3 linked regions of the Neurospora crassa OR74A genome follow. The protein of the gene in region 3 purifies or fractionates together with the protein of the main gene of each other region. This does not show direct contact. Links are inferred from orthologs where the notes say so. Each region holds a gene or a part of one and is shown on either strand. Other genes may lie near its edges.

Region 1 (3,944 bases), on a different chromosome or scaffold from region 3:
GAATCCGCGAGTATGAGACTGGAGAAGCCCACACCGTAATCACCGTAGAGGCCGGCGCCAAATCTCCGTTTTTTGATGGATACAATATCCGGCCCTGAATGTGGTCAATTTGGATCATGAAGCTGAACATGGAACTCTGCGGGCCAAAGGTTCAATGTTTCTATCCGGATGTACGTGGAGGTAGCTTGGCCGAGCTGCCGAGCTCGAGCGGGTCAGGGGGTCGCTGACGCCGTTCTAAGGATCGAACGCGGGGCGGCTCCCACACGTGTGTTTCGGTTCCCAAGTCTCCTCCCGTCCATGCGCGCGGTAAAAGGATGGCCGACGACGGAAGACCGGAAGAATACCTGGACACGACCACGCTGAACACTTGCGGCACCGACATCATGTGCGCGTCTCTGCAATCGCATGTGTCTCGAGGGACAGCGGTTGTCAGACCAGACCTCAACATCGCGATGTCAAAACTGCTTGTTCACTCGCATCGATGTCGACACCGGCATGCATTGACGTCACGGCACCCTTTGGGCCTTTGGGACTACCTAGGTATGTACTTGGCCCTTGCGAGATCCCTAACTCATCCGGGGAAGCCGCCCCTTTTGACAGGTGTGGAAACGTTCCTGCTCCGGGTTTCCAGAAAACAATGTTGGAATTGCCAATTGATGGACGGATTGATAATAGATGAACCCGCCTGCACAATCTGTTCCCTAGCACGTCCTCGACACTCAACGCTCATCATCAATGTTCGTGGAACCTTCGGGGTTGCATGGAGAGTCGGATGGAGCACGCAACCGACTCCAGTAAGGGCTTCATCCAATCTCAGGTTGGATGTGGATCAACGGTTGGGGTTCCTAATTTACCGCAATCCGTCTCGGCTTTGTTGCCTTAGTGCCTCATGCTCTTGGTACGTGCGTCAGGCCACAACACGTCCGACACCTCTCTGCAAGGCTTTCGTTTGCTTGTAAAAAGAAGGTTTTCCGAGCCTTCAGTCACAACAGTTCGAGGCGGGTCATTCGAACCAATCAAGGCGTGATTGGGTGGCTCGAAAAAGTGCCTGCCAGTTCGTTCCTCCCCTCGGGCCACGCATCACAGCCACGGTGCCACAGCAGCACAGCACACAGGCAGCAGGGCAGGCAAACCGAAGCGACGAACGGATGCAATCGAACCCGACAGACGACTCGAGCAGAGTCAAGATCAGGGCAGCCACTACAGCCGAGTACCCACCCATACCTGCACCAACCACCGACCACTGGCACTCCCCCGTCCAGTCCACTTCTTCTACTTCTGCAACGACAACTTTTCTTTCTCCCCGCTTTCCAACCCCAACTCCCTCCTCACTTCTCGCATCACCACCACATCACGCTTTTGTCGTCATCAGCGAAAATAATCTTAAACGCCAACGGAGACCGCCTTCGTCAATCCAGCAATCCAGTAATCGACTAGTCGCCCAGGATTTGTCCATGCATCTCGACTCAGCACACGCTCACCTGGATTTTCTCACTTTCTAGTAGCCTCACAGTAAAAGGGTGCGCCCAGATCACATCCGCGCAGGTCAAGTCCTGATCTTGTCTGCCCTTCGTACAGCTGCTTTCGTTGCGGTTCTTGCACGTCGTCACAGCTATCCCCAGTTGGTGGTTTCCACTTCGCGCGTCACGTCAGAAAAATAAAAAGGACCACCGTATTCTTGCTCGCACACACGCCGGCCAGCAACATATATCTCTGGCCTCTCGGCTTCTCTTTTTTTTGCTAGGACTTTGCACTGGCCTACGGCTTCTGCGCTTGTCTTAAGACGCACAGAAAGGACAGTCTCTTCGTACAAGCTGCTCTCTTCTGAGTACCCGGTGGCGCGGGCAAATTGCAGCTTCGTAACCTCGGTGATATACGTCGAGAAGCAAGGAAAGCAGACCTTGGATGCCGACCTGTTTGAGCCTTAATCAACGTACTCCGTCTTTCCACCCGTGACAAAGGAGCATGGTATTGGCATAAAACCTTTAATCAGCCTTCACCGTATCACAACCGTACTACATCGCAGCTTGTATTTCCAAGCCCAACGGCCAAGTTGATTGCCGACTTCAGCTGGTCTTGCTCGATTTTCAAACAAAAATCATCCATCATGTTGTCGTCACAGGCGGCCGTAGCTGAACTAGAGAAGGGCCTCGGGGACATGCAAAACCTGAAACCGCCCGGTGTCTCTGGCTCGAAAATCAATAGCCTCACCATGCTGTGTTTGAACAACGTCCAGGTAAGAAAAGCGCCGTGTCTGGGCTCGACAGTATGCACGATGGAGGCACCAGAGCTAACCACACATCCTTCGACAGTACGAATCACAGCTGGTTCAGAAGTTATATACCCACTACAAGAAGACACCAAACACTCACAAGCTGGGCGTCCTATACGTCGTAGATTCTGTAACCCGCAAATGGTTGGAGAAGGCAAAGGCCCTTGAACAACCCGTCACCCTTGGTGCACAGGATGGCACCTATGCTGCCGGTGTCCATAGAGTGACTGAACTAATGCCCATGTTCATGAACGCCATCATCTCTTCGGCCCCCGAGGATCAAAAGGTACGCACACAACCGCACACTCATGTGCCGTCTTACACTTATACCTCCATTTCTGCCAAACGGACTAGACCCCGAGCACACTTGGGAGCGGCTGTAAGATCAGGCCACACCAGTCGTCTTCACTTTCCTAGACCATATCGTGCATCCATTTTTGGTTGTATTTAGTGTCCAGTATCATGTTGTTCATAAACTCACACCCGTATCGTCTTGTAGGAGAAGATCAAGAAGCTGGTCGACATATGGGAAAAGGGCCAGACGTTTCCTCCCGATATGGTCAACACCTTCAAGGAGAAGCTGAATGCTCATCAACAGCACAGTAGGTTTTGCCCGGATCCTCCTAAGCATATTCCCTTACGCGTGTGCGGTGCTCGTTGTTTGCCTGATCTAACTGTAGCGTGTGCCGATAGATGTCTCGACAACACCACCAGGCAGTCCCCCTCCCAACCCGCTGGCTTCCTTGCAGGCCACTAGCAGACCTCTCCCTACGCCTACAACTACCGCCGTAATGCCGTCCAACATCCTGGAGACCTTAGCAAATCTTGCCCGCTTGAATGCGAATGCGGCTCAGAGTAATTCCAGCGCGGCCGCCCCTGCTCCCGCCCCGGCCGCAACTGCGGCTGTGGCCCCTTCTCCGGTACAAATGGGGGTCCCGCAGATTCCTCCTGTTACTTCTTCCACGCCGCATCCCATGTTTGCTACTTCTGGCCAGCCTAGCAATGGAGCATTGCCAGCCGGATTTCTTCCCGGTGTGGGGCACCCGGGTATGCCGTACTTATCAGCATCGCAGCCGGCGGGGCAGTCGGTGAACATGCCACCGACGATGCCATTTGGCTTCCCAGCTCCGGCCGCACAGCTAGCTCAGCCTGTGCAAGTGCCAGGAGCAGCCCCTAGTGCGAATACCGCTACGACGGTTCAGCTGTTCGCCGCCCTCGCCGCCCAGGGCATCCCTCTTGACAAGATTGCCAGTGTAATGCAGCTGATGGGTCAACCAAGTGGCACCGCCCCGGCAGCACCTCCCCAGTCCGTTGCTCAGCCTCTATATGCCGGCTATCCTCCTCCTCCCCCTGCTGGCGGTGTATCTGCTGCCCCTGCATGGGAGGCCGTGAGACATGATGAATCACGTGATCGTAATGGCTATCATGATGGGATGAGGTCTCCAAATAGGCCTCGGGGTCGCTCTCGCTCACGCTCGCCGCGGCGCTGGGATGTCAGGGGGTCGCCTCGAGCCCGCGGTAACGATCGCTTTGATTATGGGCGGAGCACCCCGCCCCGTGGCCATCCGGATGATCGTGGTAGAGACCGGGATATGCGTATTCCCGAGTACCGACAACGGTCGCCCCCCAACCGTAGACATGAGAGCCCGGGTCAGGAGCCGCCCTCCGAGAA
Region 2 (3,210 bases), on a different chromosome or scaffold from region 3:
CAGAGAGGGCAATAGAAACACCCGGGAGCCACAAAGCATCCCAGGTTTTGCCACTTACAGCAAGTAACAGAGCATTGCTGGATGTTCAATATATGAAAAGCGAGCACGTTGAAGATGAACAATCCTATCGCCATTATAACAACCCGGAAAACATTATAAAATGGGTAACAGAATCCGATATCACCCAAATGCGTCGGTGGAAGGGTCCCAACATGCATTCCGATGAGAATAATACGACACCAGAGGAGTAACTTGCCGTTGGTGACGACTCGGTGTATTTTTCCTCGGGAGGGCGACTTGTAGAGGGGTCCTGGAAACCACAGGCATTTTTTTTGGGCCGTAGAGGATGGAAGCGAGGTGTTTCTTTCATGTGATACGAAAAATGTCTAGACAACAGCGATTTTGTAAAAGCGAACAGACGAATTGATACCACAAGAATCTGAATTGAGATTGCTAGCCGGAACCGCAATTGATCATGCACAATGTAAAGGGTAACCCGAGTTATATCGCATTGATTGAAGTGTAATTGCTGGTAACGTCGATTCTATACCTGTCTGTGTGTTGCGCTCTCATGATATAACTAATAGCTTCTTTTCTCTACGCGGGCTGCAAAAATAAAGACCATAAAGGGACAAGCTCCGACTTCTTCAAATCCCAGGCTCGAATAGTGTAAAACGCCCCAACGCCCTTTCAATGCACATGATTCCGCCAGATCTTGGATCGTATCCATCTCCTTTCCCCGTTTCTTCCCTTAACATCGACGCCTCAAGCACCCTACCACCCACCACGTCTAGGACCACGCCCACGATAACCGCCACCGCCACTCCTGGGTCCACGGCCTCTACCCCAATCATCATGTCGTCCACCAGGACCCGTTGGCACACCACCCATATCATCATCACCACCACCGCCCATTCCCATGGGCCTCTGCCGTCCACGCATCTCCTTCGGGAATGCATCATACGTCTTCCGCATCTGCGCATATCCCAAATGCATCTTGCCAAAGAAGTGATCCGCCAGTCTGCGGTCATTATCCAACCGGGACAGGTACGCCCCGCACACGTCGCACACCTGCAGCTTCTGATGGCCTGACGGGCCACTCGTATCCGACAGCGCCTTCAGCTCTCTCTCCTTCTCCTGCTTCGCCGCTTGCGCCTGGCGCACCCTGAACAGCTCGTCATACGCCCTCCCCACTTCGCCCAGCTCTCCCAAGATCTCCACCTCCAACAGACCCGTCGCAATGGTCGTGCCCAAGTCCGAGATGGCCTTGAGCAACACGTTTGTCTGCCGGATCTCGTCGGGCGTCTTTTCGAGGCGTCGCTGTGCCGCGTCGATCCGTCGGTTGCACTCGTCAATGTACTTTTGCAGGTCGCGCATGTAGTCGTAGTCGAAACCGTACTTCTTCTTTTCTTGTTCAGGCAGGGCTTCGTACTCGGCCTTGAGGGCTTCCGAGTGCACGCGCGAGCACGGGCCGAGGTCTTGCTTGGTGTTGGTGAAGAGGTCGTGCGGGCAGGTGCCGACGAGGTAGGAGCGGCAGACTTTGGGGTCGGTGAGGGAGAGTTGGGCGGAGCGGGAGGAGATGCCGCCGCCCATCAGCTGCTCTGCATGGTTGGGGTGAAGAAGTTAGTGGGAGTTTGTAGGGGGGTGGGAGGAAGTATGGGGATGCGACTTACCGAGCAGCTTTCTTTGTTCGGCCGCCATGATTGGTCTTGTTGTTTATAATTATTACTATGAAAATGTTTTGGGTTCGATAGGCGTCGCTAGGTTTTGGTTTGACGGAAATTGCGAGGGCTGGTGATGGTAAAGCGCTTTCGCGGTTGCTGACGTTTTGTTTTGTTTGGGAGAAATTCCCAAGATTTTGGAGGTCGAATGCAGTCGCAAAAGTCAGCCGCGCATGCAAGGCTGCTTGCTGGATGGAACCTGATCGCTGAAACCGGGGAAGTGGACCCACTTTACATACCCTCCATTCCCCTGTTGCCGCTATAATCCCGGTTCATCCACTGGAAATGTGCTGTCATCAACCACAATTCCCTTCTGGGTCTTGTCCCGCTATGCCAGGGCGCGGCAGGCACTCTTCCAGCACCTCCCATCAGCAATGGGGGGGGGTGCCCAAGTTGCGATCCCCTCCGACGGCAGCCAGGGCACCCAACGCAACACCAACAAAAGTTAAAAGTTAGGTGTGAACTGTCACCATCTTTGCCGTCGTGTCTTCCACTTCTACTTCTGTCTTGCCATTGTCTCCGGAAATTGCTTTTGGTACTTTGCGGTGGACGTACAGATCAAGCAAATGGATAGACAACGGCAATAGACAGCGTTCACTCCAGTTAATACAATGCGCCCATCCTTTCCTTCTTCTTTCTTACTCTCCTTACTTTCTCTTCTTTGCTTCTCGCCCTACACTGCGATCGCCAATGCCTCCTCCTCCCCTGCCGATTCCATTTCCAACTCCCGATCCGACTACCACGAACAGCTAATATTGCGCCCGCTACCATTGTCGACTCTGCTCGCCAGCTTCAACTTCCGCTCCAACACATCGCTCTCTGCCTTCGAGGCGCACAATTTCCGCTTCTTCCCCAGGTCGCTGGGCCAGATTCTCGAGCATGCCGGCACGCGCGAGTTACACTTGAGGTTTAGTCTGGGAAGATGGGATGCCGAGAGCTGGGGCGCAAGGCCGTGGAATGGTGCGCGCGAGGGTGGAACAGGTGTTGAGATGTGGGCGTGGCTGGAGGCAGATACAGACGAGGAGTATGTTTCACCACCACCCACACAACACCGCGGATCATGACTTGGGCGAGAGACTAACTACAGACACCATGTAGGGCCGACCGTAAATGGCTGACGCTCACCAATGCGCTGTCTGGCCTCTTCTGTGCTTCTCTCAACTTCATCGATAGCACCCGAACTACCCGTCCCGTCATGTCCTTCCAGCCCGAGGGCAACCACATCGACGCGAACGCGACGAACATGCACCTACTTTACGGCGTGCTACCCCACGAAGTTGTCTGTACCGAGAACTTGACACCCTTTCTTAAGCTTCTTCCATGCAAGGGCAAGGCTGGTATTGCGTCGTTGCTTGACGGACATAAGCTCTTCGACTCCTCATGGCAGACAATGGCGATCGATATCCGGCCCGTGTGCCCGGAGGATGGCGAGTGTGTGTTGCAGATCGAGCAAAGCATTGACATGGTATTGGACATTGATCGATCCAAG
Region 3 (3,686 bases):
GGGTCTTGGCATCCGCTCTCGAGCTGGTGTTCTTTCGGGGTTGGGGTTGGCGAACGGACCCGCGATTTTTTTTGGACGGGACTGTTTGGACTTTGGACGACGACCGCCCGCCCGCGCCGATTCCCGCGATACCTTCGGGACCCATCCTGACGAAGCGAACCGGTTGCAGCTCTCCCCCCCCAAACATCCACCACCACCACCACAATGTTTGGGGCTTTCAGATTCACCAACCCCCTCTCCGGGGGTCTTCTTTGGTAAGCGACTACCCTATGTTGCAGTTGCGCCAAAGGTTCTACCGGAAATGCTAATCATGTCGCGGCAAACAGGAAGATCCCATGGCGCATGTCCAAGTTCCAGAAGCTCAGGCAGCGCCGCAGACTGAGGGCCGTTGACAACGTCGTCGCCACCATTGAGAACGCTCTTGCCAAGAAGGGTGAGACCGTCAAGGCGGTGGAACGCTGGAGGGCTGAGATGCCCACCGAGGCCGAGATGCTGCCCAAGGACAAGTACACCATCTTCGACCGCAAGGAGAAGAGGTACCGCAAGGGCATCCACAGTACGGGCCACCCTTGTGCATCACTTCACAGCAGTCAAAGACCAAGGCTAATACGGCATTCCTTTTCCAGAGCTTCCCAAGTGGACCCGTGTGTCCCAGAGAGTCAACCCTCCCGGTTACTAAGACCTTCGACCCGGACGATGGACGATATCGTGCAAGCATGTATATCACTTGTAACATTACGCAGCGAAATGGCATGGGTGACATTGGAGATACCGCTAACAGGACCGTTTGCTTGGGGCAAAGAAGAGGAGGCCTCCTGTCTCGTCTCGCAAAGAGACTGACTGACTTGGAGGTCCTGTCCATCATGGACACTCCTGCTCGCTCCATGTTGAGATACCACTGCAGAGAGCAGCGCAAACACGGCCAGGCGAGCATCACAGAAGAATGTGTGGAGCCATACCGAATGGATGGGAAATCAATAATTTCCCGAAATACCATAGCAAGATACCAATACAACAACGAATATCATGTCTTCCAAGGGGGTATTTGTCTTTTACGCTTCTCTGTTCCGCCTCCACTTGCCCTGAATGAACAAAATTCGTAATTTCAGAGCCGGCTTGCATATTTTGTGTCGATTTGTCATGACGACTGGTTGAATATCTGTGCACTGGATCATGATGCACTCCCTCATTGTCCCACGTAACTCCCATGCAATGACAACTCTAGCGCAAGCGGCCGTATTGTTCGTCGTTATCGTCGTAGCGCTTGTGGTCATGCTCCCTCATTCTCTCGGCCTGGATTTGCCGGCCAAGACCACCGCGGCCCTCGTCGTAGTCCTCACGGTACTCATCACGAACTTGGCCGCCCGACTTTCCACGGCCGTACTGTCGCCCTTCCTCGAAGCCTGGGTCGAGATCGGTTCGGATGATGCGCTCGTCCAACTTGGTGCCGCCAATGTACTTCATGCAATCGAGAGCGTCCTGATGGGTGTAGTATTCGACGAAGCAGAAACCGCACGGTGTCTTTTGTAAGCGATCGAGGCCCATGACCAAGCGCTTGATCTCGCCGCATTTGCTAAAGAGTTCGTAAACCTGTTCTTCGGTAGTGTAGAAGGAACTGCCGAGGTACATTCGGTTAGTTCTTGTTTCTTTTGATTTTTTTTTGATTTTTTTAATTAAGGACTGGCAGCGTGGGGCAAACTTGCAGATTGCCGACGTAGAGCGTGGTCGCATCCTTCAACGGGTCATCGAACGCTTCGGGATGCATGTTACTGTCTTCGTTTTCTCCATCGCGGTGGTCCCGGTCGTGACGTCTGTTGCGCCTATTCTGTGTTGAGTGGATGGGTCAGCGGTCGACGGGGTGCTAATTATGGACAGGAGAGATTGGCAATGTTTGGGCATGGAAATGCCGTCAGGAGCACTCACCTTGTTGAAAAAGTATGCACTTGGCCTGTCAAGGCGCTCTACGGTGCTCCTTTGGCGAGTGTTCAACATGGTTACCTGGTAGTGAAGATGGATTATCTGCTCTTGGGTGAAAGGTGCCCTGCAACTGCGAAGAAGAAGGAAAATCAAAAGCTGTCAGCCCAAGTGGAAGTTCAATGGTTTGGAGTTCTGAGACGTCGATGGGGATGATGCAGTGGTTTCCCTTGCCAATGGAATTGGACCTACCTAAGAGGTAACTTAGGTTGCCCGCTAAAGTGGAAGTACAGGCGCAGCTACTTTCTGAGCGCGACTGGTGTGCCCGTGTACCGCGACAGCAGCACTGCAGGCTTCGTTCACAGTTCAGTTCAGCTCAGGTCAGTTACACTTAGTCCTGTTGGCGCACAGTGTCACAGTGCATCGGACATCACTGCATGGCAATCCAGGTAGTCTTGGCACTGTAACGGGCGACGGAAGCCGTTGGTGGTGGGTCAGGTACCCTATCTTACGAGGTGCCCGCAAATATGACGACGGCAGGCAAGGGCAGAGCGATGGAAGCAAGGGCAGGAGGACTTGGTGGAGGCGCTTTGTCGTTGATCCAACAACCATTGCCAGCCGATTGGACCGCAATCTGGCACCCAATTTACAGGCGCGTCACAGCACAACTGTACCTACCTCGGGCTTACCATTTATAGTATGTATACAGCTAGGTCTCCGTTAAGACCTCCATTCGGCCATTCCATCCCCTCTCATCCCGGGCGGCCTGCCTGTCTCCTGTTGATCAATGACCGATGGTGTGAGACGAGGCGGCGAGCACGGTCTGGACTGAACACCGGCGGACAGTTGAAACGGACTAAAGGGCTGTGGAAGGAGTGGAAACGCGCTAAAATGAAGCTAACACGATCGATCAAGGCAAGCAACGGAAAATATACGGCATAGGCACGGAAGCGGACGCCTCTAGTGACGCCCTGGACGCCTCATTTACAGCACTGGCTCGGACTGGACAATAGTGGCATCCAGCACTCGTCCATCCACGGGCATCCATCAGGTCCGTAGCACTACACGCTAGTCAAACCTTGTTGTTACCATCCTGACCAGCCAACCGAGACCACTAGCAAACTTCGCTTTCCTGGCTTTTTCTCCCATGGGATCGATCGAGGGGCCTGCCACTTCAAAAAGGGATCCCAATCTCTCTCCTTGTCTTCCCTCCCTTGGCTTCTGTTCTACTTGCTCTTGATCACCTTTTTTTTTTTTTTTTTTCATCTTCAAAAACCGAGAACCGCCATCACATTAATAGTACCGGTACATCAAATACATACGTACCTCGACCATAGTGCGCCTGCCTACCTACATAGCCAATTACCTCCCCACCTACATACATTACTTCAGCAGAGAAAGCGAAGTGCAGCACGACGACAAAAACCGGCCCGTGCATGCTAGGACATAGCAGGACCTCAACACAAGCTACTATTTCTGCCTAGCCAGACACCAACTTCGGTTTTCATTGCGCCACACGAACCACCGTCATCTGTAGGATTCATCAGGCTCGAGTTGGATAGTATAGCGACAACAGACAGCTCTTAGCACAAAACCACCAAGCACAGTCGGGATGCCCAAAATCCGGAGCTTCTCGGCGCCCTGGCTCCAGGAGCCAAACCCCGGCCATAAGCTCTTTGAGCAGGCCGAGGAAACCAACCGGCTCCCCGCTTCGATAGCTTCCTCCAGGAACGCCAGTCAGGGACCCAATCGCACCATCGCACACCGAGGAA

The links.
Region 1: the proteins of NCU00210 (region 3) and NCU01695 purify together in Saccharomyces cerevisiae (affinity purification with mass spectrometry; 6 studies listed by BioGRID). This does not show direct contact. The link is inferred for Neurospora crassa OR74A from reciprocal best matches to the Saccharomyces cerevisiae genes CBC2 and NRD1.
Region 2: the proteins of NCU00210 (region 3) and NCU05645 purify together in Saccharomyces cerevisiae (affinity purification with mass spectrometry; 6 studies listed by BioGRID). This does not show direct contact. The link is inferred for Neurospora crassa OR74A from reciprocal best matches to the Saccharomyces cerevisiae genes CBC2 and LUC7.

What each region holds. Positions count from the first base shown.
Region 1 is NC_026502.1:2,700,356-2,704,299, reverse strand, and holds the start of NCU01695 (RNA binding protein Nrd1), read left to right. Parts: upstream 1-1,144; 5' UTR 1,145-2,107; coding exon 2,108-2,236; intron 2,237-2,312; coding exon 2,313-2,558; intron 2,559-2,771; coding exon 2,772-2,874; intron 2,875-2,965; coding exon 2,966-3,944. UniProt on the Saccharomyces cerevisiae protein: Plays a role in sequence-specific regulation of nuclear pre-mRNA abundance.
Region 2 is NC_026506.1:1,219,775-1,222,984, forward strand, and holds NCU05645 (U1 snRNP splicing complex subunit), read right to left. Parts: upstream 1,832-3,210; 5' UTR 1,702-1,831; coding exon 1,674-1,701; intron 1,602-1,673; coding exon 775-1,601; 3' UTR 501-774; downstream 1-500. Other genes in the region: gpit-1 (GPI transamidase component GPI16), read left to right, coding at 2,333-2,745, 2,820-3,210. UniProt on the Saccharomyces cerevisiae protein: Component of the U1 snRNP particle, which recognizes and binds the 5'-splice site of pre-mRNA. Together with other non-snRNP factors, U1 snRNP forms the spliceosomal commitment complex, that targets pre-mRNA to the splicing pathway.
Region 3 is NC_026503.1:3,018,526-3,022,211, reverse strand, and holds NCU00210 (nuclear cap binding protein subunit 2), read right to left. Parts: upstream 2,184-3,686; 5' UTR 1,993-2,183; coding exon 1,924-1,992; intron 1,826-1,923; coding exon 1,704-1,825; intron 1,616-1,703; coding exon 1,222-1,615; 3' UTR 741-1,221; downstream 1-740. Other genes in the region: NCU00211 (mitochondrial ribosomal protein subunit L31), read left to right, coding at 205-254, 327-556, 627-679; NCU00209 (hypothetical protein), read left to right, coding at 3,527-3,686.